Arabidopsis thaliana: one gene and its partners. The protein of the gene in region 4 purifies or fractionates together with the protein of the main gene of each other region. This does not show direct contact. Each region holds a gene or a part of one and is shown on either strand. Other genes may lie near its edges. The genes, in order: FIB1, AT5G27120, AT3G18790 and AT2G35390.

Region 1 (8,058 bases), on a different chromosome or scaffold from region 4:
AAAAAATCACACGAAGTTGGACAAAAAACTCATAAAATTGATTTTTTTTTCATTAGTTAATAAACAATTAAGGCCTTGAATGATTGTAAATTCTAAAATGGTGTCTAGTTTGCATAAATAGATTTTTTTTTTTTGCTTTTCATTAATTAATAAAAAATTAAAAATTTAGATTTCTTAGCTTTTCAGGAAACTTTTTTATGCAAACTAGAAACCATTTTAGAATCTACTACCATTCAAGGCCTAAAACTAAAACCAAAAACTACTTAGAATCTACAAATAATCAAAGAAGGCCTAAAACTAAATGACTTTCTGATATATATATTTCACAGATTTGACATTTTGATCCTCATCAGAAATGGATCCGCTGTCTTCACTGATGAAAAACGAAGAGCCAAAAAACTGGGCGGATCTTCCGACGGATTTGATGTGTTTGATTCTGCTACGTCTTAGCGTGACTGAGATACTGGAGAACGCTCAGAAAGTGTGTAGATCGTGACGATATGTTTGTAAAGACCCATCCATATGGCGTAAAATCGACATGCGAATCTTGAGTTACAACAAACCAGTACTGGTGAACAATCCTGAGGCGATATGTCGTAACGCCGTTGATCGTAGCGAGGGTGGCTTGCTGGAGATCAACATTGGGGACTTCGGGAGTGATTCTCTCCTTACATACATCGCGGAGAGGTTCTCCTCTAATTCTAGTTTTGACTTTTGATTACTTTTCATGTAAGTCTTCAAGTGTCTGTTAAAAACAGATATCTCAAGATTATGATTTATAACTTTTTACACACCATTACTTGTAGGTCAAGTAATCTTAGAAGCCTTAGACTAATGTGCTCAGAAATAACAGACGATGGATTTGTTCAAGCAGTTGTGAAACTTCCAATGCTTGAAGAGCTTGAGGTTTCAGGAATATCATTGTCAGGAGAGTCTATGAAACTTGCAGGGCTGTCTTGTCCAAATCTGAAGACATTGATGCTAAACCGCCTCTTTTACTTAAGTTCGGATGATGATGATCATGATGCCATAGCAATTGCAGAAAGCATGCCTAAACTACGCCATCTCCAGCTTTGTGGGAACAAACTAACCAAAACAGGCTTAAACGCCATTCTTGACGGTTGTCCTCACCTGGAACACCTCGATTTACGCCAATGTATCAACCTTGTCGGGAATCTAGAGAAGCGTTGTTTTGAGAAAATTAAAGATTTGAGACGCCACAATGATTCTACCTCTGCTGATTACCCGTTTTCTTTTGAAACTTACTATTTTCATTGGTCACGCCAATTGGCAATACTTAAAAATGCGCTACCGATGGAAGAAGGCGCCTATAACTTTGATCCAATAGTGGAAGAAGCCGAATATTACTTGAAACTGTATTGAGACTTATGTCAATAACACTTAGTCGGTTTGTTTGTGTTTAAAATTTTATTAACCAAAAAAAAATGAGTTCCTTTCAGAGCTAAGTGATACTTTTACGCCTTTTCTTGAGCATAATCATGTTCAAAACAAACTACTTCAACAATCAATTCAGCATGCAGAAACAAGTAGGATTAAAATGGACAGTAGTTCTTATAGCCAAGCAAAAACAAGCATAGAAAAGACTGATGGAGATACAATCATTGGACGAAAATGTTGCATCAATATATATTAGTTCTAAAACGAGGATAAAATTTTCCAAATGAGACATAAAAGCATTATCCATCTCTAGCTTAATACAACAAGCAAGGAGATAAAAACAAAACCCAGTAAATAAGTCTTAATACACAGGCACTACTGTCCACAGTTCCTCTATGAGGCTGGGGTCTTTTGTTTCTTCGGCATGCGGTAACCACCAACAACACAGGCATGGTCACGCTCAAACGGCTCGAGAGTCACCTGTTCTGCTGGCTTAAACTGCTCTTGTTGCAGCTTCTTCACCTCGCTCTGGAAGACTGCTTCTGCTGCAACTGTAGAGTCGATACAGTTGGCCTGAACAGATGAGACATGTTTATTTAGCGACGGAAATACAAATTGAATAATAACAGAGGAGAACATTGTTGAATTTGATTAAGGATAAGAGCACTGACCTTGATTGAGATAACAAAGTGTCCACCAGTTTTGAGGAAAAATGAGGCATTCAGGGCCAAGATTCTTGCCTTCAAGAGTTAGGCAAATAGATGGATTCAATTAAATAAAACATAAACAGAGAACCAAAATGAGAATAAAGAGAGACATTAACATAAACATAGAAACATTTATGGAATCATTGCAGATTTCTTGGAGCAATCTCTGCTAGCTCAGCAATATTGCTACAACAATTGAGTCTCCAAGTTTAGTAATAAAGTAAAACTTCTAAATGACTTGAAAATGCAATTGTTGAAAACCAGAAGAAACCGAAAAGACTTCTTCCAAATCGATAAGATATACCAAATGAAGACAAATAAAAACTTTGAGATTAAAACAGATTTGCATGTTCAAAGTAAAAAATTTTAGTAAAAAGATACAAAGTAGCATCAGAAGCTTGGAGTTTGCAACACCCATAAATGTTCTGAAGGGGAATCCAAGTAAAATCATCATCTGCCGATTTCATTGTACTGATTTTTTTAAAAGCAAAAGATGCAATGCAATAAAAAAAAACTTTGAAGATATAACTGTAAAATAAAAAGGCTTCAAACATTTCATAGTAAATGAAATGTCATCATATGCCGATTTCAATGAACTGATATTTTAAAAGCAAAAGATGCAATGCAATATGACGTAACCTTTGTGAATAAAACTGTAGAAAGGGTAACTTCAAACTTTCATAGTAAGAAATATAGAACCAAACCTGATCTGGCTGAGCAACATCAGAGAATATGACATCAACCATGCCCACGAGCATTCTGTACTTAGCCGGATGTCTAGCATCTTCAATGATTGGAATAACGTTAGTTCTCTTCTTGGCCATGTTCACCAAATCTCTACCACTTCTATGAGAAAACTCAACAGCATAAACACATCCCTCCTACAAATCATAAAGCAATAGAACAAAGATAAGTCTCAAACATAGGATAGAAATGGACCTACGGATAACTAAAATAATAATTTAGTGAAAGACTTACAGGGCCAACGAGGTCAGAAACATGAGAGACAGTGGTCCCAGAAGCAGCACCCAAGTAAAGAACTTTGGCACCAGGTTTCTACAAAAGTTTTAACAAAGAACCAATTCAAGCACATGTCTTTCAATACAAAAAAAGAAAACAGAGTCAATGTGGTATGTGTATAGATGGACTTACGATCCAAATGTTGTCGACACCACCAAGAATTGCAGCAGCTAACTTAGATCTAAACGGATTCCAAACTCTGTATTCAACCTTAGTTCCATCTTCATTCTGCAAAAGTGAAGTAGCTATAATATAAGAACAAAAACAAACTCAATTTAATTATAAAGAAAACAATCCTCAAACTTCATACCTGAACAGAGATTCTCTTCTCATTGTAAACAGCTTCACCAGGAACCAAATTCTTAGTGACAAGAGCATCTTCTTTACCCTTAGCAATAAACACTCCCGCATGTCTGTGAGGCTCAACAATCACTTTGCTTCCTCCTTTCATTCCTCCACGAGGTGGTCCTCCACGACCACGAGGCGCACCACGTCCTCTGCCGCGAGGCCCACTACGGCCTCTGTCACCACTACGGCCTCCTCCAAAGCTTCTTCCACCTCCAAAACCTCTTCCACCACCATCTCTTCCACCTCTGAATCCTCCACCACCACGTCCTCCTGATTATAACAATACCAACATACAGAAAATTAACTAAACGGAAGAACAGAGTGTTATTAAAAATCTCTACTTTTATCTTTGAACTTTATTGAAACAGTGAAGATACAAAAGGCTCATGAATTAAAACCCTAACTACCAATTCAAACTACAGAAACCGTAATGATACGAATTCAGATTTGATACGGACAGGGTTATACTCTAGAGGCAGACAGAACAAGAAAGACATAAACTTTAACTAAGGTTCTTACCTGTAACTGGGGGTCTCATATTTGCTTGTCTAAAAGTGAAGAACGAAAGACGAGAACCGAAAAAAAACGAGGGCAAAGGAGAGAGATGTGCGGTGGTGGCTGATTTTAGAGTCTCTGTGAGTTGGTTTATATATTAAGATTTTAGGGCTTTTAGGGTTTATGCTTTGGTAACATTTCTTGTATTTTATAAATAGGCCCTTCTATTATATATATCTTAACTACATTAGTCTACTACATTGGTAACGATGGGTCCAAACTCCAAAGTATGGAGTTGGGTTTGATCCGGATTGGGTCAAGATAATAATGGGCCGATTTTATTGGCCCAAAGTGGGTTTGTTTATGTCTCACGGAAAAGATAAGTTAGGGTTTTATTTTTGTGAGACAAGAAGAGTTAGTTATTCACTTATTCTCAATTTCTCATAGAGAAATTACGAATATATCTAAGGTTCTCGATCATCTAAAGTTTTTAGGGTTCGACTTGCTCCTCCTCGTCTCTGCTTACCTATATTTGAAATCTTTATCACAAACTCAGCTAGCTATTACATCACTAATGGCCGAACGTTGTCAAAGAATTGATGAAGAGGTTGTTGCTTCTAGAGACGAGATCAGTTCGTTGCCCGACGATTTGCTTATCCAGATTTTGTTGCTTGTACCGATCAAAGATGCAGTTGGGACAATGATATTGTCAAAACGATGGCGTTATGTCTGGACGTTGTTGCCTAAACTCGAGTACAGTGATCCTGGTGATGAATGCGAAAGCGTGTGGAAGTTTCTTGAAAAGTTATTGGAACTTCACAAGGCACCTTTTCTAGAAACTTTGTGCATCCAACTCGGTAAAAATTTTCTATTGAGGTAGATGTTGGGAAATTAGTTGCAAATGCAGTTGATCGCTTTGTGCGCAAGCTAGAGTTAGAGCTCCACTGGACGGCAGAGCCTACCAGCTTGCCTAAGAGTCTTTACACATGCAAAACACTTGTGGAATTGACTCTTTCGGACAAGATTATAGTGGATGTTCCTTCTTCGGTTTGCCTCCCGTCACTCAACATATTACGCCTTTTTTATGTGGTGTTCAAAGATGAAAATTCTCTAGAGAGGCTTATATCAAGTTGCTCAGTTCTTGCCCGATCGAAAGTGGGCCTCGCCATCAGTGATAACCGGGACTACCGTTTCGCGAAGGTGCATAAGCTTCGCCTTGAAAAGCCACATATCGACGTTGTATGTCATACTGATGACAAGTTTCTCAAAGCTATTTCCTTGGTCACGTATCTTGTGTTACCTTTGGAAGATCCAATGGTATCTATCCTTTTTATTATTATTGTTTTTTTTCTTCTTGGCTGTTAGGTTTGATCACATTGATTTATATTGGCTTTTGATTTAGTCATTGAAGGCTCTGGATTTTCGTGGCTTTACCTTCACTCGACTTGGAAAATTAGTGATATGTCCACATGGCCATCTCTGGTTGGATATAATTCCACTAATTCTCAACAACTCTCCTAAACTAAGATTTCTTGCTATCACTTCTGTAAGTAACAAGTAACAACGCAATCTCCTTGTTGTATAAACTGATTCTTTGATTCCACCTCATAGATTTTTATGTACTTGCATCCAGGTAAGTGGATATCGACCCGGAAATCTCCCATTGTCATGGTACCAACCAAGGTACTGTTCCCAGATGCTTGTCGGCTCATTTAGATGAGGAGTTTGTGTGGCATGGATATAGAGGAAACGAAGAAGAGACACAGCTCATAAGATACATTTTTGCTAATGCAAAGTGTTTAAAGAAAGTGACAGTCACATCTATATGGGAACATTTTCAATCTTCAATCTTGAAGAGAGAGATATCAACCTTCCATCTTGAAGAGAGAGAGGTGATAGAAACGGTCTTAAAGTCTATGCCTAGAGTTTCAACAACGTCTACGCTTGTGTTTAAATGAAGAATGTATATTCTCTTACCATTTGGTGCAAAACCACATCTATATGGGAACATATTCTAACTTCTTTGAACATATTGGACACATTGTTTCTTTGATGCATAACATTTTACCATTGCCGGGCCCATCGAGAATCTGGAAGAAAAATACAAATTTATGAGGGAATTGAATACTACATACCAACTTCGACAATTTTAGATTTTACCTTTGAAGTTATAGAACACAAACCTGAAATTTTTTTTATAAAATTGAAATGATAGTTTTTTTTTGCAATTTTAGTGTTACAAAGAAAACCGAACCGAATAAAACGAAATTTTATCAAATTCCTATATTTTTAAATTTTATTAATAATAGATTTGCCAATGTTTTCTGGATTCAACCCGCTCTTGTATGCGACTGCCAATAAATATTTTAAAAGGAATAAAATCCATTTGATTTTTCATTATTAGCCAAGTAATGATTCACTCTATTTATAAAGTTGACAAAATAAAAAAGTACTAATCCCTACACACCACAAATCACACATCAATAGGGACAAAGCGAGAGAGAAGAGAGAGACCGGACCAAACACAAAGCCCTTAAAGATAGGAAGATACTTTGTCATAGCTTTGCTATTTCTCAAAAAAAAATGAGGGACGACAGAGAAAGAGGAGAGGGTGATTTGTCATGGCCTTTGATCGGAGAGAAAAGTAGTGTCAAGGAAGAAGTGAAGAAGCAGCTATGGCTTTCAGGCCCACTCATCGCCGTGAGTCTTCTTCAGTTTTGTCTACAAGTTATCTCCGTCATGTTCGTTGGCCATCTTGGCTCTCTTCCTCTCTCCGCCGCATCCATCGCCACCTCTTTCGCCTCCGTCACCGGTTTCAGCTTCCTCGTCAGTTTTTCCTCACTCTCTCTGTCTTTCTACAAATTACATATTCCCATATCAATTTATTCTTAACCATGTATCTTAATCTTTAATTTAATTTACCAAAAAAAAATCTTCCAAATTTAGGATATTAGGAATAAATGTCTGAATGTGAAACTTGATTTGGTAATTAATATCATTTTTTTTGATTTTTTTCCTATACATATATGCAAACCTTTGGATTTTTTTAATATGTAGAGTTTTTTTTTTTGTGTGCAAGTAATATATAGTGCTTTAAATCTTTAATTAGTTTATCTCTAAAAAGAGATGTATTAGTAATTATATATCATTAGAAAGAAATATATATTATTCACCTCACCTATGATGGACATATCACTTTATCAGTTATCAGGCCACCTTATTTGAATATCCAAGTTGCGTAAGCATCTTTTCTGCCACTCATGCGACAAGAAAACAAAATACATTTTTGCCATTTTATGGACAGATCGAGAAGTGAAAACGCCAAAATAACAAAATCAAAATGTTTTTCTTGTATAAACAAAAATGAATGCTTTAAGCAGTTGCTTATGGCTCTTATTTGAACTTGAAAACCACTTGTCGAACATTGAACGATGTCAACAAATCCAAATTTTAATATTCAATTGAAAGTTTTAAAAATTGGGTTGTACGTTTTTACTTGTGAAGCAAGAAACTACACTGATTCACTTTTCCATTTTCCTCATGAACAGATGGGAACAGCAAGTGCGTTAGATACGCTTTGTGGCCAAGCGTACGGAGCAAAGAAGTACGGAATGTTAGGAATACAAATGCAAAGAGCTATGTTTGTTCTTACACTAGCTTCTATTCCTCTCTCCATCATTTGGGCTAACACAGAGCACCTTCTCGTCTTCTTTGGACAAAACAAATCCATTGCTACACTCGCTGGCTCCTACGCAAAATTCATGATCCCAAGCATCTTCGCCTACGGTCTTCTTCAATGCTTTAACAGGTTCTTGCAGGCCCAAAACAATGTGTTTCCTGTGGTTTTCTGCTCTGGAGTAACAACTTCTCTACATGTCCTCCTTTGTTGGGTCTTGGTTTTCAAATCTGGTTTAGGGTTTCAAGGAGCTGCTCTTGCCAACTCCATTTCGTATTGGCTTAATGTCGTTCTCTTGTTCTGTTACGTCAAGTTTTCGCCTTCTTGCTCACTAACTTGGACCGGTTTCTCTAAGGAGGCTCTACGCGATATCCTCCCTTTTCTGAGACTAGCTGTTCCTTCTGCACTTATGGT
Region 2 (8,257 bases), on a different chromosome or scaffold from region 4:
ACTTTTAAAAAAACTGTAAGCTTCTCATTTTGACACGTATGCTTTAAGTCTAAAATTTTGCACTTCCACAATCGTAAACCAATTCACTTCCTTTTACTATTCAATAGAATATTCTTTTTTGACAAAAGATAAATTTAAATTTTTTTAACCACTTTTTCAGCAACTACTTCTTCCACGTTATTAAGATTCTTTACTTTCTCTCCCATCTTTCAAACCCTCTGCCAGTTAATTTACGATCTCAAGAGCAACCGTATAAGCCATTCTCAAGAAGATAAAAACAGGTTTAAATTCTTCTTCTTCTTTCCTTTCTCATAATCTTAGATCCTCCATTCTTTCATCTAAATACGTCTACCAGAGAAACGAAAGAATGACGTAAATAATGAAAGTTGAGACTTTTGTGATACCTAATGTGATGGACGCTGTTAACCCCTCACGACTCACTGAGTTTGGTCCACCCAATCGCTGGTATGAATATCAATAAACCTTTGGCCGTTTTGTTGCGTTTTACTTGGTCTTATCTTCTTACATTTTCCATGCACACCCGCTGCTACAAAATGACCACATGAGTTTGCGAGAATCATATAGAAACAAAATGGATGCAAATGTTTTGGGGCTTTCAATTCAGAAAAAGAAGAAGAAGAAGAAGAAGATAACCAAATTGAGAGATGGGTGGCATGACATGACATCTTCTTCCACGGTGTAGTGTGCAAAATAATTTAAATGTGAAACCATCTTATATGTTCAAGTTTAGAAAAGCGTTTTGGTTAGAAGGTAATTCATTTCTCCATCATTATTATTGTTAAGTTTTTTGAGAAGAAAAAACGGCTCTGTATATATATATATATTTTTTTCTATATATCTATGAGATAAGTTAGTGTATTTATGTAAGATTATTTGCTGTTTCCAATAAAAGTTTTCTTAATTTTAACACATATATTATTTTACAATTTGAGTAAAGTTGAATAGGACTTTTATTGAGAGTTATAGAGCAATGTGTGATACACATTGTATTTTGTGAGGTTGTGATATTCGTCATTTGTGTAATTGTTGCAAATTTCAAAGACACGAAATATATTATTGGTATTGTTGTTTTGCGTGCAAGGCACGGGCTGCCTACTAGTTTACTTACAAATAAAAAGACTTTATAAATTAAAATCCAGTTCGATAGGTGTCTAGGCAGATTTTTTGAACATTACCTACAATGATTACATAAAACACTATAGATTAAACTTTTTCCACGGCAACTAAATTTAATTAAAAATAAAAAAAACTTTATGAATTAAAATCCAGTTAAATATTTTAAAACATATATGTTCAGTAGTAAATTTTGATATTGACGGAACCATTATCACGAAATATTCAGAAAGAATTTTGATTCATATTCATCACAAAATTTATAGCACAATAAAAATATATACACACACAAAGTAGGTAGACTCTAGATTTTATTTATCTTTTGAAATTTCTAAGGTCTGGTATGATTTGCCTTATGCTCAACCCAATCCATTTCCAATTGACTATTAAGGTACTTTTTAGACTCACAAATATTCATTTTGTACAAGGTTTTTTAAAATGTCAATGATACACTTGATGAAAAATGTCGACTCTTCGGACTGATCTTTACAAATTTATGAACTAATCAACTATGAGTAATTACGTTATACTAAGATTAGAAGGATTTAACGGTAAGGTCTTGACTCGTTTGGCAAAATGCAAGTTTCTGGGATAAGGACTAAACCAAACATATTATAACCTTACAAAACGAAGAGTAGTTCTTTTTTTTAAGTTTCAAACAAAACAAAAACCTTACTTAACACCTAACGCCACAAAAGATTTTCTTTGTTTCTGATAACAAAGTAAACTAGACCACGCAAAAATATTAAAGGTCTCTTCAGACCTCAGTTTTCTTCTTCTTCTTCTTCTCACTCTTTTCCTTCTTCTTAGCAGGCATTTCAGTTTCCTCTTCCTCGTGTTTTCTCTTCTTCTTCTTCTCCTTCTTTGCAGGCTCTTCGGCGGTTTCAGGTTCTGCTTCTGTCTTCTTCTTATTCGATTTCTTCTTTGAGGGCTCCTCAGTTTTGGCTTCTTCCTCATCATCAGCCTTCTTCTTCTTCTTTTTGTCTTTCTTCTCTTTCACACCGTTCTCTGAATCCACTGTGGGAGTTTGAAGAAGAGAGTCTGCAGCAGTGTTGTATGTCTGCAGAATACAACAACAACAACAACAACAAACAGCTTAATCCTTTAAGCAACATTACAGGTAATATATCCAAAACACAATTGCACAAATCCAGAATTCATAATTACAAAAGAAAGTTGAAGAAACAAACTAGCAGAGGAATAATCTGACCTTAGCAGGAGTGATCAGACCTCCGGATCCTTTCTTTTTATCTTTGTCATATACTTCAATCTTTGGTTTGCCTTTAGCTGAGCCAGATAGACGTCCTAAATCTTTTCCTTCGAGAGTTCTCAACCGTGCTTCAAGCTGTCAGAAGAAAATAGCCCGCATGGTAAACATCAATCAAGGTAGAGTATTTTTAGATCAGATCGAGAGGAAGATCGGAAAAAAAAAAATTGAAGGATACCTTTAAACGGTTTTCAACTCCCATAGTGTTGTCTTGGGAGTCACCAAGAGCATCACAACGGATAGCAAGAACAGATTTTGCAGCTAGTGACCGTGAAATTTTACCCTTGTTCTTCGGTGCAGCTTGGCCAACAACAGATGCATGGAAAATTAAACCATACTTTGGAGTAGCGTGTTTGGTCTTAAGGGCTCTAAATAAGGCTTTTTCAGCTCCAAGAATCTGAACCGTGCTTCCAGGTTGCTTTGCGAGGTTCAACAAACTACCACCGTGAGATATTAAGCGAGCACCGACTAGCTCCCCGACAAGGGCAGTTAGATTTGGTGCAATTGTGTTCATTCTGCTCTTCAAGTAGTCATAAAGCTGAGCTCTGTACTCGGCAAGAGAAAGAACCTGGTCACAGAGTTCTCGGATGTGCAATAAATCAAGGTCACTGACTTCAGTTCCCATAGATATCACAGCAGCCTCTTTCAGTTCTGCTTCAATTTCATCAGCCAATATCTGAGAGGAGGACACAGAAACAATGTTTCAAAAAAAAAAAAACTAGTGTTAAGCACAAGGAAGTCAAATACTCAAACAGGCCTTTACCTCAGAGAAGTCTAGCTTTGCAGCATTAATCCGATTCCCCATTAGTTTAACAGCCTTGGCATATAAGATATTGTCCTGTACGATCTTAGCAAGCTCAGGAAAATGCCAACCAAACCATTCACGAACCCTCATAGCGTAAGTGTTAAGCTCTTTGTCAAGATCATCAAGCAGACCAATAGCTTGGATTATCATGGTATCCACCTAACATACAAGTACAAGGTGAAGTAACATAAGGGTCAAACAAACACAGGATATATAGACAAACTCAATTGCAATTCAGACCTAATGTTGGAAGAGTAAAAAAAGGGATACCAAAAGTTCCATAATTTATCAAAAGTTGGCTAACTCAACAAATAATTCAGAGAACCAAAAACCAATACAAATCAAATGACTACCTTGTCGGAACTGAACTTTAGTTTATATCTGGCAAGGCTGTGAGACAACCCCAAGCTCATTGGACCTAGATCTTGATCACCCAATCCAGATATAAGTTCAGTTAGCTGGCTTCTGATACCTCTTAACAGCTCCATAACAGCATTGTTGTGAACACAGACTATTTTCTACACGAGTGAAGCAAAACCGTAAGAAACAACCCTTACTCAGAAATAAAAGAGCGTATCGGAACAAAATACACACCAGTTTCTCCTTGATGATATTTCCAAGCTTAGAATCAGCAACAGCTAATGTTTCACCAACACAGTTAGCTTTCAAAAACTTGCGTAGACCCTTGCTTGGAGTTCCCTCAAGCAATTTAGCCACTGCTTCAAGAGCTTCAGCTGTGTTGTCAAACTTGTCAAAAGCTACTAGCTTCACCATCTGTAACAACACACCAAAAATTGCTATGAGAAACAAATATTATTAGCCAGATACAAAATTTGAACTATGTCTAGAACAAAATAAATCACCTTTCGGGCTAACTTTGCGGTCGAGAACTCATTACCCAAATCCTACAATCACAAATTTGACATACTTAGAATTAAAAAACCAAACCACACACAGAAACAAGGTTAAGATAAATGAACAAAGGAGAATGATTTAGTTAGTAACCTCAACATTAGAGAGCTTTCCTTCGTTTAATACTTTGAAGATGGCAAAACCACCTGGCGTCTCAAACAGTATTAGCATTTTTACAAGCTCCTGAAAAGAAGAAAAAACAAGATTAAGAGAAACCCTTGAATCAACTCAAAGTCACCAAACTTGCAAGTTAGTGTTTTACGAGCTAAAGCCATTAAGCTAGTACGAAACAATATTCAAGGTAAAACTTTTTCCCTGTTTCGAAGTTTACAAATCAGAATAATAGTTAAGGCAGATACTCTGTTCAAATTCTTGAAAATCCGACAAAGAACAGAACTATACTTTGTCAAAGTCTTAGAATTTTGGAAGCTTATTTGCCATAACAACGAAGAAAGAGAGGGCGAGAGAGATTCAGTACCTTAGAGGGTTAACGCACAACTACAGCTTTAGAGAGAGCTAAAATCAGGAGCCGCGATTCTGCTAGGGTTTAAGATGGTTTTTATAGTTGTTGAAGAAGGTTCAGAGATTCTCAAAACGCTGCGTTTTTATTGCTAACGGCGCGTTTTTGTAACCTAGGGTTTTAAAACGCATCGCTAATTTAGAAAAATAAATCATTTTGGGCCTAATTAAGTTTGGCCCATTAGTATAAACGACGTCGTAGTTTGAATCATGTCTTTCCTTTATAATTTAGCTAAAGCAGCGACTGATCACATTTCAATCTCTCACGACAAAAAAAAATGTGAACTTGAAATGGAATCTTCAAAGTTGTTGTCTTTATTGCGAGAGTGTACCAATAGCACCAAGTCTCTAAGAAGAATCAAGCTTGTGCATCAGAGAATACTCACGTTGGGGTTACGAAGAGACGTAGTTTTATGCAAAAGTCTCATCAATGTCTACTTTACTTGTAAAGACCATTGCTCAGCGAGACACGTCTTCGAGAACTTCGATATACGATCGGATGTTTACATATGGAACTCTTTAATGTCTGGTTATTCAAAGAACTCAATGTTTCATGACACTCTTGAGGTTTTCAAGAGGTTGTTGAATTGCTCAATTTGTGTCCCTGATTCGTTTACTTTTCCGAATGTGATTAAGGCTTATGGTGCGTTGGGTAGAGAGTTTCTTGGTAGGATGATTCATACTCTTGTGGTGAAGAGTGGGTATGTTTGTGATGTGGTTGTGGCGAGTTCTTTGGTTGGTATGTATGCAAAGTTTAACTTGTTTGAGAATTCACTACAAGTGTTCGATGAAATGCCTGAGAGAGATGTAGCATCTTGGAACACGGTTATTTCGTGTTTTTATCAAAGTGGAGAGGCAGAGAAGGCTTTGGAGTTGTTTGGAAGAATGGAAAGTTCTGGCTTTGAACCAAATTCAGTTTCGTTGACGGTGGCTATATCGGCGTGTTCAAGGCTGTTGTGGTTGGAGAGAGGGAAGGAGATACATAGAAAATGTGTGAAGAAAGGGTTTGAGTTAGATGAGTATGTAAACTCTGCCCTTGTTGATATGTATGGGAAATGTGACTGCTTGGAGGTGGCTAGGGAGGTTTTTCAGAAAATGCCTAGAAAGAGTTTGGTTGCTTGGAATTCTATGATCAAAGGTTATGTCGCTAAAGGAGACAGTAAGTCATGTGTTGAGATTTTGAATAGAATGATCATAGAAGGAACTCGACCGAGTCAGACAACCTTGACCAGCATTTTGATGGCTTGCTCTCGCTCACGGAATCTCCTACATGGAAAATTTATACACGGTTATGTGATTAGAAGCGTTGTAAATGCAGATATCTATGTGAACTGTTCCTTGATTGATCTATACTTCAAGTGTGGTGAAGCAAATTTGGCTGAAACCGTCTTTTCAAAGACACAGAAGGACGTTGCTGAGTCATGGAATGTCATGATTTCTAGTTATATCAGTGTAGGTAATTGGTTTAAGGCTGTTGAAGTGTATGACCAAATGGTGAGTGTTGGAGTGAAGCCAGACGTGGTAACTTTCACAAGTGTTTTACCTGCTTGTTCGCAACTGGCTGCGTTAGAGAAAGGCAAACAGATTCATTTGTCCATTAGTGAGAGCAGGCTCGAAACAGACGAGTTGCTTTTGAGTGCGCTTCTTGACATGTATTCTAAATGCGGCAATGAAAAAGAGGCTTTTAGGATTTTCAACAGTATACCAAAGAAGGATGTTGTATCATGGACGGTAATGATCTCTGCGTATGGATCTCATGGTCAACCCAGAGAAGCACTTTACCAGTTTGATGAAATGCAGAAGTTTGGTCTAAAACCTGATGGGGTTACTCTTCTTGCTGTATTGTCAGCTTGTGGTCATGCTGGGCTAATTGATGAGGGTCTCAAATTTTTCAGTCAAATGAGATCAAAGTACGGAATCGAGCCTATTATTGAACATTACTCGTGCATGATTGACATTCTTGGCCGAGCAGGTCGGTTGCTTGAAGCTTATGAAATTATTCAACAAACACCAGAGACAAGTGACAATGCAGAGCTTCTCAGTACTCTCTTCTCTGCTTGTTGCTTGCACCTGGAACATTCATTGGGAGATAGAATCGCAAGATTGCTTGTTGAGAATTATCCAGATGATGCATCAACCTACATGGTCTTGTTCAATTTGTATGCTTCTGGTGAGTCATGGGATGCAGCAAGACGAGTCAGATTAAAAATGAAAGAAATGGGATTGAGGAAGAAACCGGGCTGCAGTTGGATTGAGATGAGTGACAAAGTGTGCCATTTCTTTGCTGAGGACAGGTCTCATTTACGAGCTGAGAACGTTTATGAGTGTCTTGCTCTTTTGAGTGGTCACATGGAATCCGGTCAATGATTCTTATGTTATTGTTAATTATGCATGAGACGAAGTCTCCTCCTTTGCAACGGTTGACTTTAATTGTTGGTTAAATTAGAATATGTAAAAAAAAACAAGTTGCTGCCTTAAATATTATATACTTTGGAATAAATTCAACAAGTTCGTAATTAACAATATCACGACTTCTCCAATTACCAAAGGGTCTCATGCCACACCAAAGAGCATACATATAGACCACCAAGTTTCATTCTTTTTCGGCTAAGTAGAAGAAGAATAAAATGAAGAGAGAAAACAACCTCGTTCTCAGCTTACTCTTCTTTGTAATCGTCTTCCTGATGCAGGTCGGAGAAGCACAAAATAGGATAACCAATGTAAATGTGGGAATCGTGAATGATATCGGAACGGCTTACTCCAACATGACTTTGCTCTGTATCAACATGTCTCTTTCTGATTTCTACTCTTCTCATCCAGAAACCCAAACAAGGCTTGTAACCACCGTTGTTGACTCCAAAAATGATGTTGTTACCGCAGCAGCAGCAGGTACACGCATACCCATTTCTCTAAATTTGCATGCACTGAGATACGTGTGTGTCATCAATCATCAGTTCATATGCACACTTCTTATCTACATTTATGCTTTCTCCTCCAAAGGTTTTTTTTTTGCATAACAAAACACTCCTTGGCGTTGACTTTGTCACAGCTCTTGATCTGATAACGAACAAGGAAGTGAAAGCGATTCTAGGGCCATGGACTTCGATGCAGGCTCAATTCATGATTGAGATGGGACAAAAATCTCAGGTGCCGATTGTTACGTATTCTGCAACAAGTCCGTCCCTCGCTTCCATCCGTAGTCAATACTTCTTTCGGGCTACGTATGATGATTCATCTCAAGTGCACGCCATTAAAGAAATCATCAAACTTTTTGGTTGGAGAGAGGTTGCACCTGTATATGTTGACGACACATTTGGCGAAGGTATAATGCCTCGTCTTACAGATGTGTTACAAGAGATTAACGTTCGTATACCTTATAGGACCGTGATCTCTCCCAATGCCACGGATGATGAAATATCTGTGGAACTTCTCCGGATGATGACTCTACCCACTAGAGTATTTGTTGTCCACCTTGTTGAATTGCTTGCCTCAAGATTTTTTGCGAAAGCTACGGAAATTGGTTTGATGAAACAAGGATATGTCTGGATCCTCACCAACACAATTACCGATGTTCTAAGTATCATGAACGAGACGGAAATTGAAACAATGCAAGGGGTATT
Region 3 (7,290 bases), on a different chromosome or scaffold from region 4:
GAACAAGCCAACCACGACGACGACTAACGTTGCCTGGATTGACTCGGTTTAAGTTAACCACTAAAAAAACGGAGCTGTCATGTAACACGCGGATCGAGCAGGTCACAGTCATGAAGCCATCAAAGCAAAAGAACTAATCCAAGGGCTGAGATGATTAATTAGTTTAAAAATTAGTTAACACGAGGGAAAAGGCTGTCTGACAGCCAGGTCACGTTATCTTTACCTGTGGTCGAAATGATTCGTGTCTGTCGATTTTAATTATTTTTTTGAAAGGCCGAAAATAAAGTTGTAAGAGATAAACCCGCCTATATAAATTCATATATTTTCCTCTCCGCTTTGAATTGTCTCGTTGTCCTCCTCACTTTCATCAGCCGTTTTGAATCTCCGGCGACTTGACAGAGAAGAACAAGGAAGAAGACTAAGAGAGAAAGTAAGAGATAATCCAGGAGATTCATTCTCCGTTTTGAATCTTCCTCAATCTCATCTTCTTCCGCTCTTTCTTTCCAAGGTAATAGGAACTTTCTGGATCTACTTTATTTGCTGGATCTCGATCTTGTTTTCTCAATTTCCTTGAGATCTGGAATTCGTTTAATTTGGATCTGTGAACCTCCACTAAATCTTTTGGTTTTACTAGAATCGATCTAAGTTGACCGATCAGTTAGCTCGATTATAGCTACCAGAATTTGGCTTGACCTTGATGGAGAGATCCATGTTCATGTTACCTGGGAAATGATTTGTATATGTGAATTGAAATCTGAACTGTTGAAGTTAGATTGAATCTGAACACTGTCAATGTTAGATTGAATCTGAACACTGTTTAAGGTTAGATGAAGTTTGTGTATAGATTCTTCGAAACTTTAGGATTTGTAGTGTCGTACGTTGAACAGAAAGCTATTTCTGATTCAATCAGGGTTTATTTGACTGTATTGAACTCTTTTTGTGTGTTTGCAGCTCATAAAAAATGGCTGAGGCTGATGATATTCAACCAATCGTGTGTGACAATGGTACCGGTATGGTGAAGGCTGGATTTGCAGGAGATGATGCTCCCAGGGCTGTTTTTCCCAGTGTTGTTGGTAGGCCAAGACATCATGGTGTCATGGTTGGGATGAACCAGAAGGATGCATATGTTGGTGATGAAGCACAATCCAAGAGAGGTATTCTTACCTTGAAGTATCCTATTGAGCATGGTGTTGTTAGCAACTGGGATGATATGGAAAAGATCTGGCATCACACTTTCTACAATGAGCTTCGTATTGCTCCTGAAGAGCACCCTGTTCTTCTTACCGAGGCTCCTCTTAACCCAAAGGCCAACAGAGAGAAGATGACTCAAATCATGTTTGAGACCTTTAACTCTCCCGCTATGTATGTCGCCATCCAAGCTGTTCTCTCCTTGTACGCCAGTGGTCGTACAACCGGTTAGTACATTTTAGGCTTTTTGTTTATACTCATTGATCATTATTTGAACTGAGCTCTGATTATCTTCCATTGAACAGGTATTGTGCTGGATTCTGGTGATGGTGTGTCTCACACTGTGCCAATCTACGAGGGTTTCTCTCTTCCTCATGCCATCCTCCGTCTTGACCTTGCTGGACGTGACCTTACTGATTACCTCATGAAGATCCTTACAGAGAGAGGTTACATGTTCACCACAACAGCAGAGCGGGAAATTGTAAGAGACATCAAGGAGAAGCTCTCCTTTGTTGCTGTTGACTACGAGCAGGAGATGGAAACCTCAAAGACCAGCTCTTCCATCGAGAAGAACTATGAATTACCCGATGGGCAAGTCATCACGATTGGTGCTGAGAGATTCAGATGCCCAGAAGTCTTGTTCCAGCCCTCGTTTGTGGGAATGGAAGCTGCTGGAATCCACGAGACAACCTATAACTCAATCATGAAGTGTGATGTGGATATCAGGAAGGATCTGTACGGTAACATTGTGCTCAGTGGTGGAACCACTATGTTCTCAGGTATCGCTGACCGTATGAGCAAAGAAATCACAGCACTTGCACCAAGCAGCATGAAGATTAAGGTCGTTGCACCACCTGAAAGGAAGTACAGTGTCTGGATCGGTGGTTCCATTCTTGCTTCCCTCAGCACATTCCAGCAGGTAAAAATTGATCAGATTTTGTTTCGAATTCTCTTACATGCAAATTGAAATCAAAGGCTGATTATTTATGTATATGTTGGTTACAGATGTGGATCTCCAAGGCCGAGTATGATGAGGCAGGTCCAGGAATCGTTCACAGAAAATGTTTCTAAGCTCTCAAGATCAAAGGCTTAAAAAGCTGGGGTTTTATGAATGGGATCAAAGTTTCTTTTTTTCTTTTATATTTGCTTCTCCATTTGTTTGTTTCATTTCCCTTTTTGTTTTCGTTTCTATGATGCACTTGTGTGTGACAAACTCTCTGGGTTTTTACTTACGTCTGCGTTTCAAAAAAAAAAACCGCTTTCGTTTTGCGTTTTAGTCCCATTGTTTTGTAGCTCTGAGTGATCGAATTGATGCCTCTTTATTCCTTTTGTTCCCTATAATTTCTTTCAAAACTCAGAAGAAAAACCTTGAAACTCTTTGCAATGTTAATATAAGTATTGTATAAGATTTTTATTGATTTGGTTATTAGTCTTACTTTTGCTACCTCCATCTTCACTTGGAACTGATATTCTGAATAGTTAAAGCGTTACATGTCTTCCATTCACAAATGAACTTAAACTAGCACAAAGTCAGATATTTTAAGATCGCACCATTTTATATAACCCCAATCGTCAATTCTACTGTTTCAAGTTTTACACCAAAACAATTACGAGGTGTATCTATTCGTTACTCTTTTCGCTTATTAATCCTTTTACATGATGCAAAATATAACAAATTAATTTCAAATTGTCCTGCACATTTGGTTTATACATCTTGATTCCAAAAAGTCAACTCGTTGAAGAATTAATCAATACTCGAAACGAGTCTTCCTTGGGCCCTAAAATATTGTCCTATCTAGTTGATGCTTATATAGCATATATGGGCTAATAAATTGGGCCTTAGCTTTGGAAAAGGACGTAGAACTTGAAACAATTTTTATTTTTCTTTTTCCGGCGAAACAATTATCTAATTACCAATTTAACCCCAATCCTTTCTCAGTTTCTCTCTTCCGCGTCTCTCCTTCTCGTTATCCTGCAAATTAGGGTTTAAGTAAGAAAAAAAAGCTAGAGAAGTATCTCGATCTCTTCTTCTGTTAGATTCTGCTTTCCTTTGAGATTTGCTAGTGTAATCGTAACCTCCGAAGACCCAAGATGGCTCGTAATGAAGAGAAAGCACAGTCGATGCTCAACAGATTCATCACCCAGAAAGAATCTGAGAAGAAGAAGCCAAAAGAGCGTCGACCTTACCTCGCATCAGAATGTAGAGATCTAGCTGAAGCAGACAAATGGAGACAGCAAATTTTGAGAGAGATCGGTAGCAAAGTAGCTGAGATTCAGAACGAAGGATTAGGAGAGCACAGACTTCGAGATCTAAACGATGAGATTAACAAGCTTCTCAGGGAGAGATATCATTGGGAGCGGCGAATCGTTGAGCTAGGTGGTCACAATTACTCGAAACATTCGGCGAAGATGACGGATCTAGAAGGTAACATAATCGATGTACCTAACCCTAGTGGTCGTGGTCCTGGTTATCGTTACTTCGGAGCTGCTAAGAAACTTCCTGGTGTTAGAGAGCTTTTTGAGAAGCCTCCTGAGCTGAGGAAGCGTAAAACTAGGTATGATATATATAAAAGGATTGATGCTAGCTATTATGGGTATAGAGATGATGAAGATGGTATTTTGGAGAAGTTGGAGAGGAAATCTGAAGGAGGGATGAGGAAAAGATCGGTGGAGGAGTGGCGGAGATTAGATGAGGTTAGGAAGGAAGCTAGGAAAGGTGCTAGTGAGGTTGTGAGTGTTGGAGCTGCAGCTGCTGCGGCGAGGGAAGTGTTGTTTGAGGAGGAGGAGGATGTTGTTGAGGAGGAGAGGATGGAGAGGGAGAAAGAGGAGGAGAAAGAGAGGGAATTTGTGGTTCATGTTCCGTTGCCTGATGAGAAGGAGATTGAGAAGATGGTGTTGGAGAAGAAGAAGATGGATCTGCTTAGTAAGTATGCTAGTGAAGATTTGGTTGAGCAGCAGACTGAGGCTAAATCCATGCTCAATATTCATAGATAGAAAGGTGATCATCTCTTCTTGTAAGGCTTTTTAATCATATCATAGTATAATTTTATTGTCTGTAGTTTCTTTTGCAGTTTTTGATCAGAAAATTGACTGAACTGCTGTGTGTTTTAAGAAATTTCGATTAGAGGAATTCTAAAAATTTGTTGATGTTTCTTATATTATTACATCCTAGATTATGATCTTAGAGAATTTGCTAGATCTTGATTTATATTTCCTTAGTAGTCCTGGTCTGTTTGAGAGTATGATAAGGCTTCTGTCGAGTAATGTCATAAAGCGCGATCAATCTATAACAACAACGTACATTCTTGCTTCATTAATCAAGAGTTTCACTGACCTGAGTAATTGACCTAGTACCCTTGTATGTGGAGCTTAGATTTGCAGAAACTGTTATTTCAATGGGACATACTTTAGTTAGTGCCTTAGTGGCATGCATTAGGATGCGAAGGAATTCGTATTATATCTTCTCTTGAATTGAATCTGAGAGGCTGATACATCATCTCTATGCTTCTCAGATGCTCTGTTTTACCAACAAACTCAGCCGCGATGGTCTCTTGCCTAAAGAAGAAACGATGTTGGGCGTTTGAAATATGATTTCATGGAAACAAATGTGAAAGACTCAAGGAGAAGATACAATGTCACTTGGAACTGAACTAGTGTATTCTATTATGTAGCTCGACTTTTGTATCTTTATACTTCTGAATGTAATGCTCATTGCCTGAGGTTTATACATTGTTCCTTTGGCTCTAACTAGATTGGTGCTATGCAGAGACATAAGTTGAGACCAACCACAAGCATTTTTCTGGTTTTGATTTTACTCCCAGTAAAATATTTATTGAGTACGGACAAAACATCAAAAATCAGAACAAGACCGTTGAGATGGATAATACTTGTCTAGAGATACGAACCACACCCACATGTTCCTACACACAATCCCCAAACCATCTCTCTAACCAATAACACTTTTTCTCTCTTCTCAGTCCTTCAATGGCGGACTACGACGACGAAATTGACCAGAATAACCAACCTTTCATCCCCAAAGAAACTGCTCTACAAGCACTAAACTCAATAATCCAGCTCCACTTCGAGAAAACCTTAGAGAAGAAACGAGCCATTGACCACCAGAAGAAGAAGCTCCACAAGCTATTTCAGCTCTTCTTCATCTTCCTCGCCGTAATCTTCTTCTCCCTCTCTCAACCCTCAGGTCGTCTTCACTGCCGCCATTGCTGGGCACCCATCTGCCTCCTATCCTTCTCTCACCTCTTCTTCTACGTCTCCGTCGCTCAAACTCTCCGTTGCATCAACGGCTTCAAGTACCAGCGTCGCTGCCATAAGCTCACTCTCGGTCTCGCCACTCACAAGCTCCGTTTCATCAAGTCAAGAATCGCTGCCGGAGATTTCCTCGGTGGAGGCGACGGTGATGAGGCCTCTGCTGCTGCTTGGGATCTGGAAGTTCCGTATCAAGAACCACCTGATAGCTACTTTGGCAAGTTTAAGAGAAATTGGGCTCTCTATTTTGGGTTCTTGATCCTTCTTTACACTTTCATGATCTCTTTCTCTGTCGTTATCCTCTGTTTCTGAGATCTCTAGAGTGGCATTTTCGTAAATTTTGCAAAACCCATCTGTTTCTTATTATTCATTAGTCCTCAGCTTTAGAATGATCAAGAAGATTGAAATAAAACAAAGTTAGAATCTTTGACATTTGATTCAATCTGGTTACTGAAGCCCTAGTCAATTACTTGATTGAGAGATGGGATTAAGACAGACAATTAGCATTAATAAATCAATTAATCACAATCAAAAGTTTTGAATTTTTTTTCACAGACACAAACACAAATCCAACGGTGACAAAAAGAATAAAAGAGTTGAAAAAAAAAATTCATAGGGGAAACAAAACACAAAAACACAGCAAGGAAGATTGTTTTGAAACTAACAAGCTAAATCAATGGTCTCGGCTAGGAGTGGTTTTGTTGTTGTTAGCTCCTCCTCTACGAATCTCCTCGCTGCTCGAGGAAGACGGGTCAAGCCCGTATTCGCTCGTGTTCCCGTACTCGCTGCTTGCACCGTACTCATGACTATCCAATGCCACTTTCCTGAACTTCTTCATATCCGCACTGTAAGTGCTTGAGTCATAGTCCGAGCTTGAACCCCTCCCGAGGAATGAGCTTTGTCCCGCTTTCCCTCCTTCGCTTAGATCGTCTAGCGTTGCATCTCCCTCCAGAGCCCGAACAATCTGTTTTAACATTGGACCATAGTGATCATTCTCTTGGTGTAAAGTATATGTTTAAAAGAGTGGTCATGTTCAAAAGTAAAACTTGCCTGGCTCATCTTAGGCCTGCGTCTAGCTGAGTGCCTGACGGCTGCAGCGGCACAAGCAACCATTTGTGCCATCTCATGAGGCTCGTATTGGTTTTCGAGACGTGGATCAACTAGTTCACTGTAATCTCCATCCTGAGCTGCGTTTAAGCATATGGGTCTTGCCTGTGTAAAAAAAGTAACCAAGTTTGCATTAGATCACAAGATTCTAACAGAGGAACCATTAATGTGATGAATATATTTAACCATATGATTACGGACCCAATCGACCAAACTGTCTTCCATTTCACCAGTGAGATCAACAGGTCTGCGTCCGGTAACTAGCTCAAGAAGCATCACTCCAAAGGAGAAAACATCTGATCGGTCTGTCAGTTTCCCGCTTGACGCATACTCTGGAGCCAAGTACCTGTCGTTTGATTCACAATTTGAGATTCTTTAGAGAAACAGATTTTCGGATGAGATTATAAAACAAGAATGTTTTTGATATAGAAGTAAGAGCTAATGAAATTTGCAGGAACATTTTTCATCAGCTGGTTTCGCAGTCTTTAGTACCCGAAAGTTCCCATGATACGAGTGGAGACATGCGTAACATTGTCTTGAGATAGCTTCGCTAACCCGAAGTCTGCAACCTGTAGATTTGAGCCAGTCCAGTTAGAGAAAAAATAATACCAACGAATCTGAAAACATTATGAGTTTAAAAATTATAAGAACGTACCTTAGCCTCAAAGGATTCATCAAGAAGAATGTTTGAAGCTTTAATGTCTCTATGAATGATTCTCGGATGACCTA
Region 4 (8,036 bases):
AAACAAGCAACTCCAAATCTGAACTCTTTACGTGGATTTGAAGTAATCGATTACATTAAGTACCTCCTCGAAGAAGCTTGTCCTCTAACTGTCTCATGTTCCGATATCCTTGCCTTGGCCGCTCGTGACTCAGTCTTCCTGGTAATTTCCCCCTTGCACTTTACTTCCTTAAGGCTCTTTCTGTTTAAATCGAAACCTATGTGGTCAGTTTCATTTAAACACAAATATTGTTTGGTATCATCAGAGAGGTGGCCCATGGTGGGAAGTTTTGCTAGGGAGAAGAGACTCATTAAAGGCAAGTTTCGCCGGAGCAAACCAATTCATTCCAGCACCAAACTCCTCTCTCGACAGCCTCATCATCAATTTCAAGCAACAAGGGCTCAACATTCAAGATCTCATCGCTCTTTCGGGTGCTCATACAATAGGTAAAGCGAGATGCGTGAGCTTCAAGCAACGCATTGTTCAACCAAACATGGAACAAACGTTCTACGTCGATGAGTTCAGAAGACACAGCACGTTCCGTCGAGTCCTAGGGTCACAATGCAAAGATTCAAGCCGAGACAACGAACTGTCTCCACTGGATATTAAGACACCAGCTTACTTCGATAACCATTATTTCATCAATCTGTTAGAAGGGAGAGGGTTGTTGATTTCGGATAACGTTCTGGTCTCAGAAGATCATGAAGGAGAGATCTTTCAGAAAGTTTGGGAATATGCAGTTAATCAAGATCTTTTCTTCATAGATTTTGTGGAATCTATGTTAAAAATGGGTAATATTAATGTTCTTACAGGTATTGAAGGTGAAATTAGGGAGAATTGTAGATTTGTCAATATCTGAAATCAAACATCAATCAATACAAATTGTTTGCACTTCTTTTGGTCTTCCAATAAGGCATCAACTTCACAAAACTCATTACAACTTCGATAAGTTCCATTATTTTCTCCATTATAACAATGTCCAATTAAGTATGATACAGGTCTGTTTGTTGGAATTGTTTCTGCTTAAGGCAAGTGAATTGTCAAAATAATCTCAGCTTGTCATCTAAGCTGACAATTGATAACTCCAATTATTGAAGGACTCTGTTTTGTTCCGAAGTAAAATATCCAAATATTTCAAGGCATCAGTAGAAAACCTTTGAGAATTGTTTTTGCATTTAAAGTGAATAGAACTGTGAACAAGTCAAATTAATTAGTCAAGTGATTTCCATTATGCACAACTAGTAAAAAAACAAAAAAAAACATTCGGTATATTTTCTGGGCATCAGATAATCATAAAAGTTAGCATCACATAGAATCAGACGCAAATTACCCATGAAATATAATTTCATCATATGCCCAGTAGAAAACAAAGAGAATCAAAAACCAAATCCTTAAAATCGACAAGACATTCGAATTGTACAAAAACATAAAAGAGACTATGAATCTGAGTATCAGTTCTCCAAGGTGAATAAAACATCAATGTAATTTCAGTAGTAAATAACATCAATATATGAGATTCATCCTATACTCAGATTCAAAAGAAAACGATTTTTTTAAGGATACAAAAACGAAATATTAAAATTGAAAACAAGATTTTAAGGATTTTTATTGTAGAGTCGATCAGAACCTGTCGAGAACACAATTACATCACATATATCAGTGGATTGACAGACCTGTGAATTTCTATCGTCACCTCGACTCATAAAAGTCCTTAAAAGAGTTTTTACAAAAATCCAAAAAAAACATGAATTGAGGAAGAGATTAAGATCTAGAAAAGCTCAGAACTTCTTAGAGGGTTGTGTATTACCGTCAGCGATGGATTAACCATCTCTGGCACACGATTTTTTCCTCACAGCTCTTCTATTTAAATAAATTTCTATGCACAAATCGAAAAACAGAGCCAAACAAAATCACAGATGACAAAACCCTAAGAACTAATTGAGGCGGAACACAAAACAATAGACTTGTCTTGTGATTCCAATGTGAGTCTTCTATATATACTAGTTGACACTAGTCAAATAGAAGCCCTAATTATGACTCAACCTATTCTTTTGGGCTTTTTTTATTTTTTTGGTTGGCCGTGGACTGTACAATCCAATACATAGATTTGTCTGATTATGAAACCCATTATCAAATTGTCAACAAGATTTTTGAGCCAATTTGCACCATGTTAAATGTAGATACGATACAAGATGTTCTATATATTAAGTTAAAAACTTGTGTACACCATAATAAAAAATCGGTTCAACACCATTTGTGCATCCATAATTTTGAGATGTGGAGCAAATAAGAAAAACCTAAGCTGTATCAAAAGACAATGCAAGCAAATTTTGTTGAAGCTTTCCGGTTAGAACATGAACCGGGATAAACTTTCTAAACCGACTAACAAACCAAGAATCGTTCAAATTGTTGGTTGCAATGAGAAAGGTCAAAGGAAAATGCTACTGACGGAACTATCATCATGCACACGCCAAATGGTCTCACCCAGGAGATTAGCCACTGATAATATTGTTAACTGCGGGAAGTAATTCTTCTCTGCTACAGGTAATGTGTTTGTCACTATCACTTCTTGCAGCAAACCCCCTGATAATCGCTCTATCGCTGGCGGGCTTCCATATTGATTTGTTTGAAACAAAGAAAACAAATAATGCTTCAGGAAGTAGTGATTTTGAGACTGTTCAGGAACAAACAAAATATAGGTTAGTGGTTTACCTGAAAACAGCGTGTGTGCAGCACGCATATACCTCCCGAGCACCTTCCTGGTGTAACAAAGCTGCTCCTTTTACAATGGTTCCTGAAACAAGAATGGTTCATAGATGATTCAGCCTGGAAAAGGAGAAGTTGATGGGGAATAGAGAGAGATAGGAAACTTGGTTTGTCGGTAAAATGACAACTCCATGCCGTTTTACTAACCAGCAGTATCAATCATATCATCCACCATTATTGCCACCTTCCCTCTTACATCACCAATTAGGTTCATGACCTGAAAGGAAAGTATAACAAATGTGAACTTAAGGGGAAGCAAGCGGTGTTGGTGAGCAAACTCTGACTCTGAAAGAAAGGGATACCTCAGCAACATTGTGTCCAGAACGCCTTTTATCGACAATGGCAAGTGGTGCATCTGATAATTTCTTTGCAAAAGCGCGGGCCCTGGCTACTCCACCAACATCAGGAGAAACCACTACCAAATCCTCTGAGGGAATTGACTTGCTAGCAAGATAATCAAGTATCACCGGCTGAAACAATTAAGCAGATAAAGGTATTATACACAAAGGAGCATACACACAATGCATAAAGAGGGGTATCAAGAACGTGGCTTTAGAGGTGAACCTGGCAGTACACATGGTCGACTGGAATGTCAAAATAACCCATCGACTGTCCTGAATGAAGATCACAAGCAAGAACTCGATCTGCACCAGCTTCAGTGATAAGATTTGCAACCAATTTGGCAGCAATGGATTCACGCCCTTGTGTCTGCAAGCAGCAAAACATACAATTTTATCCAGAAAAGATTACCAATAGCTAAGTTATCAACAAACCCTCCATATCATGTGAAAGTAGCTAAACCACACAAAGAGACTTTACCTTCCTGTCAGCTCTTGCATATCCAAAATACGGAATCACAGCTGTAACTTTCTTAGCTGATGCTCTTCGGCAAGCATCTACCATAATCAAAAGCTCCATGAGATTCTCATTAGTGGGAGTGCAAGTAGGCTGCACCAAATAGACGTCACATCCCCTAACGCTCTCTTGTAGCTGAACATAGATCTCTCCATCAGCAAACCTCTTAATATTAACCTTGCCAAGATCCAAGCCCATATACCAAGCAATTTCCTGAGCAAGTGCTGGATTTGCAGTACCAGAGAACAACTTCAACCTTGTATTGGTTCTATTGACTGATTTCTCCATACGAGCAGATTCCAAGAACTTTGGAAGTGTCCTCTCATTAATAATTGGGATACTTGGATTCCCGTTTCCCACATTCAATGACTCCGGCATATCACATTTCTAGCAACAACAACAACAAGACTCAATCAGAGATTCATATAATCATATAGGTCTCAATTTCTGTTCCTGGATAGTTTCAAACAAATGTATTCTGAAGAAAGAGACAACCTTTATGTAGCTATATTCGCATAAACAAACAATATTCAAACGAAAGAGACGAGCTTTTCAGCTCATGCGCCAATAAAAATCTCAGAACTACAAACTTGACAAGATGGCTATTAGGGTCCACTCAATCTAGGAACCTCAAATCCGGAAACGTAATAAGAAAGGAAGGATCAACATTCAAAAATGCAGAATAAGCAATTCTATAGATTCATGAACACCGCTTACAACACAAGCGAAGACAGAGTTTCGGGAGCGAAACTGAGAGGTTCTGACGGATAGAGAAGAGTTAGAGAAGAAAGTTGAAGACGAAGAGGCTAGATACGTCGGCGTTTTTGCGGCGGGAGGAAAGGATAGACCCAGAGACGCCATTGTCAGCAATACCTCACGTAAACCCACCTCTGACTCACTCAAGCAGTCTCTTCCACAACGAATTCGGAAAAATTATGGTTTAGGATTTTGAAGGTGACAGAGTGATACGGAAGAAGGAATGGCTTAATGGTTTTCTTCTCTCCTTCTTCTTCGTCTCCGAGTTTGTGTTGGACTCTTCTTTCTCGAATTTGGATTTTTTTTTTTTTCGTTTTGTGAAAAATAAATAGGAAATGGTTTGGTTGGTGTGTACAAGACTACAAGTTGTTACTAAACGACATCGTTTGATGGATTGGAGACGTCTGGCTGGACTTTTCTTAGGATTAATTAACTTTTTGGGATTGATTGAAATCTTGGTCTCTTCATTTTGTATTTCACCAAATGTCTCAAAACTCAAAAAAAATTTACTAACTTATTTATTTAGAATATTGAAATTTAAACTTTTGTATTTACATTGTTATAGAATATACACCAATCAAATTCAGTTTTAGTCAAATTCGAGTTTTGACTTCAAAGAGAAAAATCATGAGATTCATCACTTTTTTGTTCTTCCATTTGACTGCAATGTGGAGGGATTGGAATTTATTGGTATACCAAAAAAAATACATGATATACGGTTAAGTTCCTCGTGCCATTTACCTTCAAAAACCGAAGTTGGTAGACCCGGTTCACAATTCATTTTTTTCCGAATAACCAAACCGGCCCAAAAAGTTTTATCCTTTTGTCTCGGTCTAATCCATTTCTCTAGTGCCAAAGCTAACAATGGCGGTTTTGGAAGCTTCTCTCTCCATTTTCTCCTTCTCTTCTTCTTCTTCCTCTTCAAAACCTTATCTCTTTTCTAAACGCTCTTCTTCCTTAAAACTTACTGCCCTTAGTCTTCGAATTCCCAGCAATCTCTCTCCCGTCTTCTCTCTACGTTCCGGCAGCGATAACTCACGGCGGCTCGTCTCCGTACTCTGTTCCGTCGCGGAGAAAGAAACATCGGCGGATGAAGAAACGTCGCAGGAGGAGAAGACTGAAGAAACCCAGAATTCAAATCTGAAAAGGAAGCTTTTTGTATTCAATCTTCCTTGGTCTATGAGTGTAAATGACATTTCCGAGCTCTTTGGACAATGTGGGACTGTGAACAATGTCGAGGTCTTTCTTCTTTCTCAATTTCGTTTCAATCTTTATGTTATTACTAGCAATTGCCTTACCTCAATTTATAAACTTTTCCTAGATTATAAGGCAAAAAGATGGAAAGAACCGAGGATTTGCTTTTGTAACTATGGCTTCTGGAGAAGAAGCTCAAGCAGCTATTGATAAGTTCGATACTTTTGTAAGCTCAAATCCCTTAGATTCTTTTCTGATTGAGTGTTGTTTGTTTAATTTCAAAGCCTTTTAGGTAGATAGTTCAAACTACTAAATCATACATTGTGTTGAGTTGTTAGCTAAGGTTTGATGTTTAAGCTTCTATCTTCTTTGTTTTCAGCAAGTGTCAGGGAGGATCATTAGCGTAAGCTTTGCAAGAAGGTTCAAGAAGCCTACTCCGAAATCACCGAACGATCTTCCTTCTCCTGCCCCTGGAGACACTCGTCACAAACTCTACGTATCTAATCTCGCTTGGAAAGCAAGATCAACACATCTCCGAGAGCTTTTCACTGCTGCAGATTTCAACCCGGTCTCAGCTCGGGTTGTTTTCGCTGACCCCGAAGGTAGATCTTCTGGCTATGGCTTTGTCTCATTTGCTACTAGAGAAGAAGCTGAGAATGCAATCACAAAACTCAATGGGAAGGTATGAAGTTCCAAGCATATTAATATAAAGTTTGCTCCTTTAGCCTTGAGCATGTAAAGTGTTTCATTACAATTTGGTTTTTCTATAGGAGATAATGGGTAGACCTATCACTCTAAAGTTTAGTCTGAGAAGCGCCAGTGAATCTGAAGATGGTGACAGTGTAGAAGCTAACAACGCTTCTGAAGATGGAGACACTGTAGAAGACAAAAACACTTCCGAAGAAAACATTGTGGAGTGACTCTTATTATTTTCTCTGTTATCCGATAGGAGCATGAGAATCTGACTAGAGATCTTATTACAGTTTTGAAATAACTACTGCTACAAAGAACACAATAATGAAGATGTAACAGAAATTCAGTAAACTATACTTCAATCCTGCTAATGTGTGATGAATCACCAAGCCATTGCCATCCTGCTCCTTCATACCGAGTAAGTTCGTCGAACGAGACACAGCTTCCTGTTTGGTAATGCCTTCTTTTGGACTTCACATTAGCATCCGTAGTCTTAACCATGAAATGTCCAGTAGAATGTGACCTCGAGAATCGCCAAGCCGAGGCTTCTATTAGCCTTTTGCTTGAACCAGCGGTTGGAGGATTTTCCTCATCATGGTTTATGTCCTGAATAGTAATTGTGACTGTGTTGTGGAATGATTCAAGCCTTCCAGATCCAATCATGCCAGGATCTAACTCACACCGGCAAACAGGACAAGTCTTGTGTAACTCAAACCAAAGATCAATGCAATTTGAATGAAAGGGATGACGACAAACCGTTATGAGCCTAACTGTATCTTCATCTGAAAACTCTGACAAGCAAATAGCGCATTCCGTCCCATGATTTTTCTTAGTTGCAGATGAATAGTGGAATACAGGAAAGGACCGGATGATAAACGGGTCGAGGCCAGTATTTTCAGGCGGAGTGGCCACATGGATTAGGTCACCGTAAGGTGTTCGTTGAAGGTTCCAAGTAGTAAATAATCGATTCAGAAGAAACTGCCATAAGAAAAGAGAGAAGAATCCGGCGAAAATTACAAAGAGAAGAACACCGGTCAAAACTACGGTGACAGGCATGGAAACACTAGGGAAAACAGCAGTAGCTGGTATTGAATCTATTGATGTTGTTGACGACATTTGAAGGTTGATGATTAGAGAAACCCCCAGATTCTACCAGTTTCGTAGATTGCTTGGGATATAAGAAAGGTTGTTCTTACAAATCCTTGTGAGAAAAGGAGTATTATTGTTCAAGTTAATAGAGAGAAATGAGGAGAATAAAGTGGCTATGTCTGAGAGACAGAAGTGGCTTTGCTTACCATTTTGAGCGAGTCTTTTGTGACAGTTAAAATCGTTGTCTTAATAATAAATCATTTTACTGTTAAAAATAACTCAAAACGAAAAATTAATATTGACCATGGAAATAAAGAAAAAGGTTTAGGTAGCAATGATGATCCGGTTTACAAGTACGCAACATTATTTAGTTCGGTTTGATCTTCTGCAAGATTAGATTTAGGATTGACAAAGAGAATAAACAAAAAGATGAGAGTTTTTGTCTTTGTTGAGTGAGTCACAATCTACAACCACAGAAGGGAGGAAGCTAATATGTCCACACAGTTACAAGTCTAAAAGAAGCTATACCTTGATCAACAAATCAGTGAAAATGCAGTGACTTTACTCAATATCGTCGATCCAATCACCATAAACACGACTGATTTTATCTGGTCCTTTCCATTTCCGTTGAGTTCTGACTCCGTTGGGTTTCTGCGTAACAGCACTAGATGTCCGTTGGGATGAGACTCCAGGAGAAACAAGGC

The links.
Region 1: the proteins of AT2G35390 (region 4) and FIB1 fractionate together in Arabidopsis thaliana (co-fractionation; one large-scale study listed by BioGRID). This does not show direct contact.
Region 2: the proteins of AT2G35390 (region 4) and AT5G27120 fractionate together in Arabidopsis thaliana (co-fractionation; one large-scale study listed by BioGRID). This does not show direct contact.
Region 3: the proteins of AT2G35390 (region 4) and AT3G18790 fractionate together in Arabidopsis thaliana (co-fractionation; one large-scale study listed by BioGRID). This does not show direct contact.

What each region holds. Positions count from the first base shown.
Region 1 is NC_003076.8:21,290,243-21,298,300, reverse strand, and holds FIB1 (fibrillarin 1), read right to left. Parts: upstream 4,155-8,058; 5' UTR 4,012-4,154; coding exon 3,993-4,011; intron 3,744-3,992; coding exon 3,436-3,743; intron 3,354-3,435; coding exon 3,258-3,353; intron 3,162-3,257; coding exon 3,084-3,161; intron 2,987-3,083; coding exon 2,810-2,986; intron 2,566-2,809; exon of another isoform or gene 2,492-2,565; intron 2,139-2,491; coding exon 2,070-2,138; intron 1,972-2,069; coding exon 1,792-1,971; 3' UTR 1,482-1,791; downstream 1-1,481. Other genes in the region: AT5G52480 (RNI-like superfamily protein), read left to right, coding at 539-687, 807-1,383; EDA41 (FBD, F-box and Leucine Rich Repeat domains containing protein), read left to right, coding at 4,543-4,752, 4,845-5,285, 5,380-5,518, 5,607-5,926; AT5G52450 (MATE efflux family protein), read left to right, coding at 6,552-6,794, 7,517-8,058. UniProt on the Arabidopsis thaliana protein: S-adenosyl-L-methionine-dependent methyltransferase that has the ability to methylate both RNAs and proteins. Involved in pre-rRNA processing.
Region 2 is NC_003076.8:9,537,319-9,545,575, reverse strand, and holds AT5G27120 (NOP56-like pre RNA processing ribonucleoprotein), read right to left. Parts: upstream 4,716-8,257; 5' UTR 4,597-4,715; intron 4,302-4,596; 5' UTR 4,290-4,301; coding exon 4,212-4,289; intron 4,112-4,211; coding exon 4,070-4,111; intron 3,981-4,069; coding exon 3,801-3,980; intron 3,725-3,800; coding exon 3,560-3,724; intron 3,366-3,559; coding exon 3,165-3,365; intron 3,078-3,164; coding exon 2,580-3,077; intron 2,480-2,579; coding exon 2,345-2,479; intron 2,195-2,344; coding exon 1,892-2,194; 3' UTR 1,511-1,891; downstream 1-1,510. Other genes in the region: AT5G27110 (Tetratricopeptide repeat (TPR)-like superfamily protein), read left to right, coding at 4,929-7,004; GLR2.1 (glutamate receptor 2.1), read left to right, coding at 7,265-7,526, 7,687-8,257. UniProt on the Arabidopsis thaliana protein: Required for 60S ribosomal subunit biogenesis.
Region 3 is NC_003074.8:6,474,574-6,481,863, forward strand, and holds AT3G18790 (pre-mRNA-splicing factor ISY1-like protein), read left to right. Parts: upstream 1-3,087; 5' UTR 3,088-3,279; coding exon 3,280-4,182; 3' UTR 4,183-4,186; intron 4,187-4,700; 3' UTR 4,701-5,009; downstream 5,010-7,290. Other genes in the region: ACT2 (actin 2), read left to right, coding at 962-1,415, 1,494-2,107, 2,194-2,259; AT3G18800 (uncharacterized protein), read left to right, coding at 5,173-5,766; PERK6 (Protein kinase superfamily protein), read right to left, coding at 6,128-6,418, 6,505-6,666, 6,763-6,907, 7,054-7,130, 7,217-7,287.
Region 4 is NC_003071.7:14,893,121-14,901,156, forward strand, and holds AT2G35390 (Phosphoribosyltransferase family protein), read right to left. Parts: upstream 4,763-8,036; 5' UTR 4,462-4,762; coding exon 4,318-4,461; exon of another isoform or gene 3,988-4,317; coding exon 3,565-3,987; intron 3,454-3,564; coding exon 3,310-3,453; intron 3,216-3,309; coding exon 3,048-3,215; intron 2,963-3,047; coding exon 2,893-2,962; intron 2,774-2,892; coding exon 2,692-2,773; coding exon of another isoform or gene 2,688-2,691; exon of another isoform or gene 2,589-2,687; coding exon 2,408-2,588; 3' UTR 2,134-2,407; downstream 1-2,133. Other genes in the region: AT2G35380 (Peroxidase superfamily protein), read left to right, coding at 1-141, 245-838; AT2G35410 (RNA-binding (RRM/RBD/RNP motifs) family protein), read left to right, coding at 5,221-5,595, 5,678-5,776, 5,930-6,232, 6,321-6,470; AT2G35420 (RING/U-box superfamily protein), read right to left, coding at 6,595-7,359; AT2G35430 (Zinc finger C-x8-C-x5-C-x3-H type family protein), read right to left, coding at 7,894-8,036.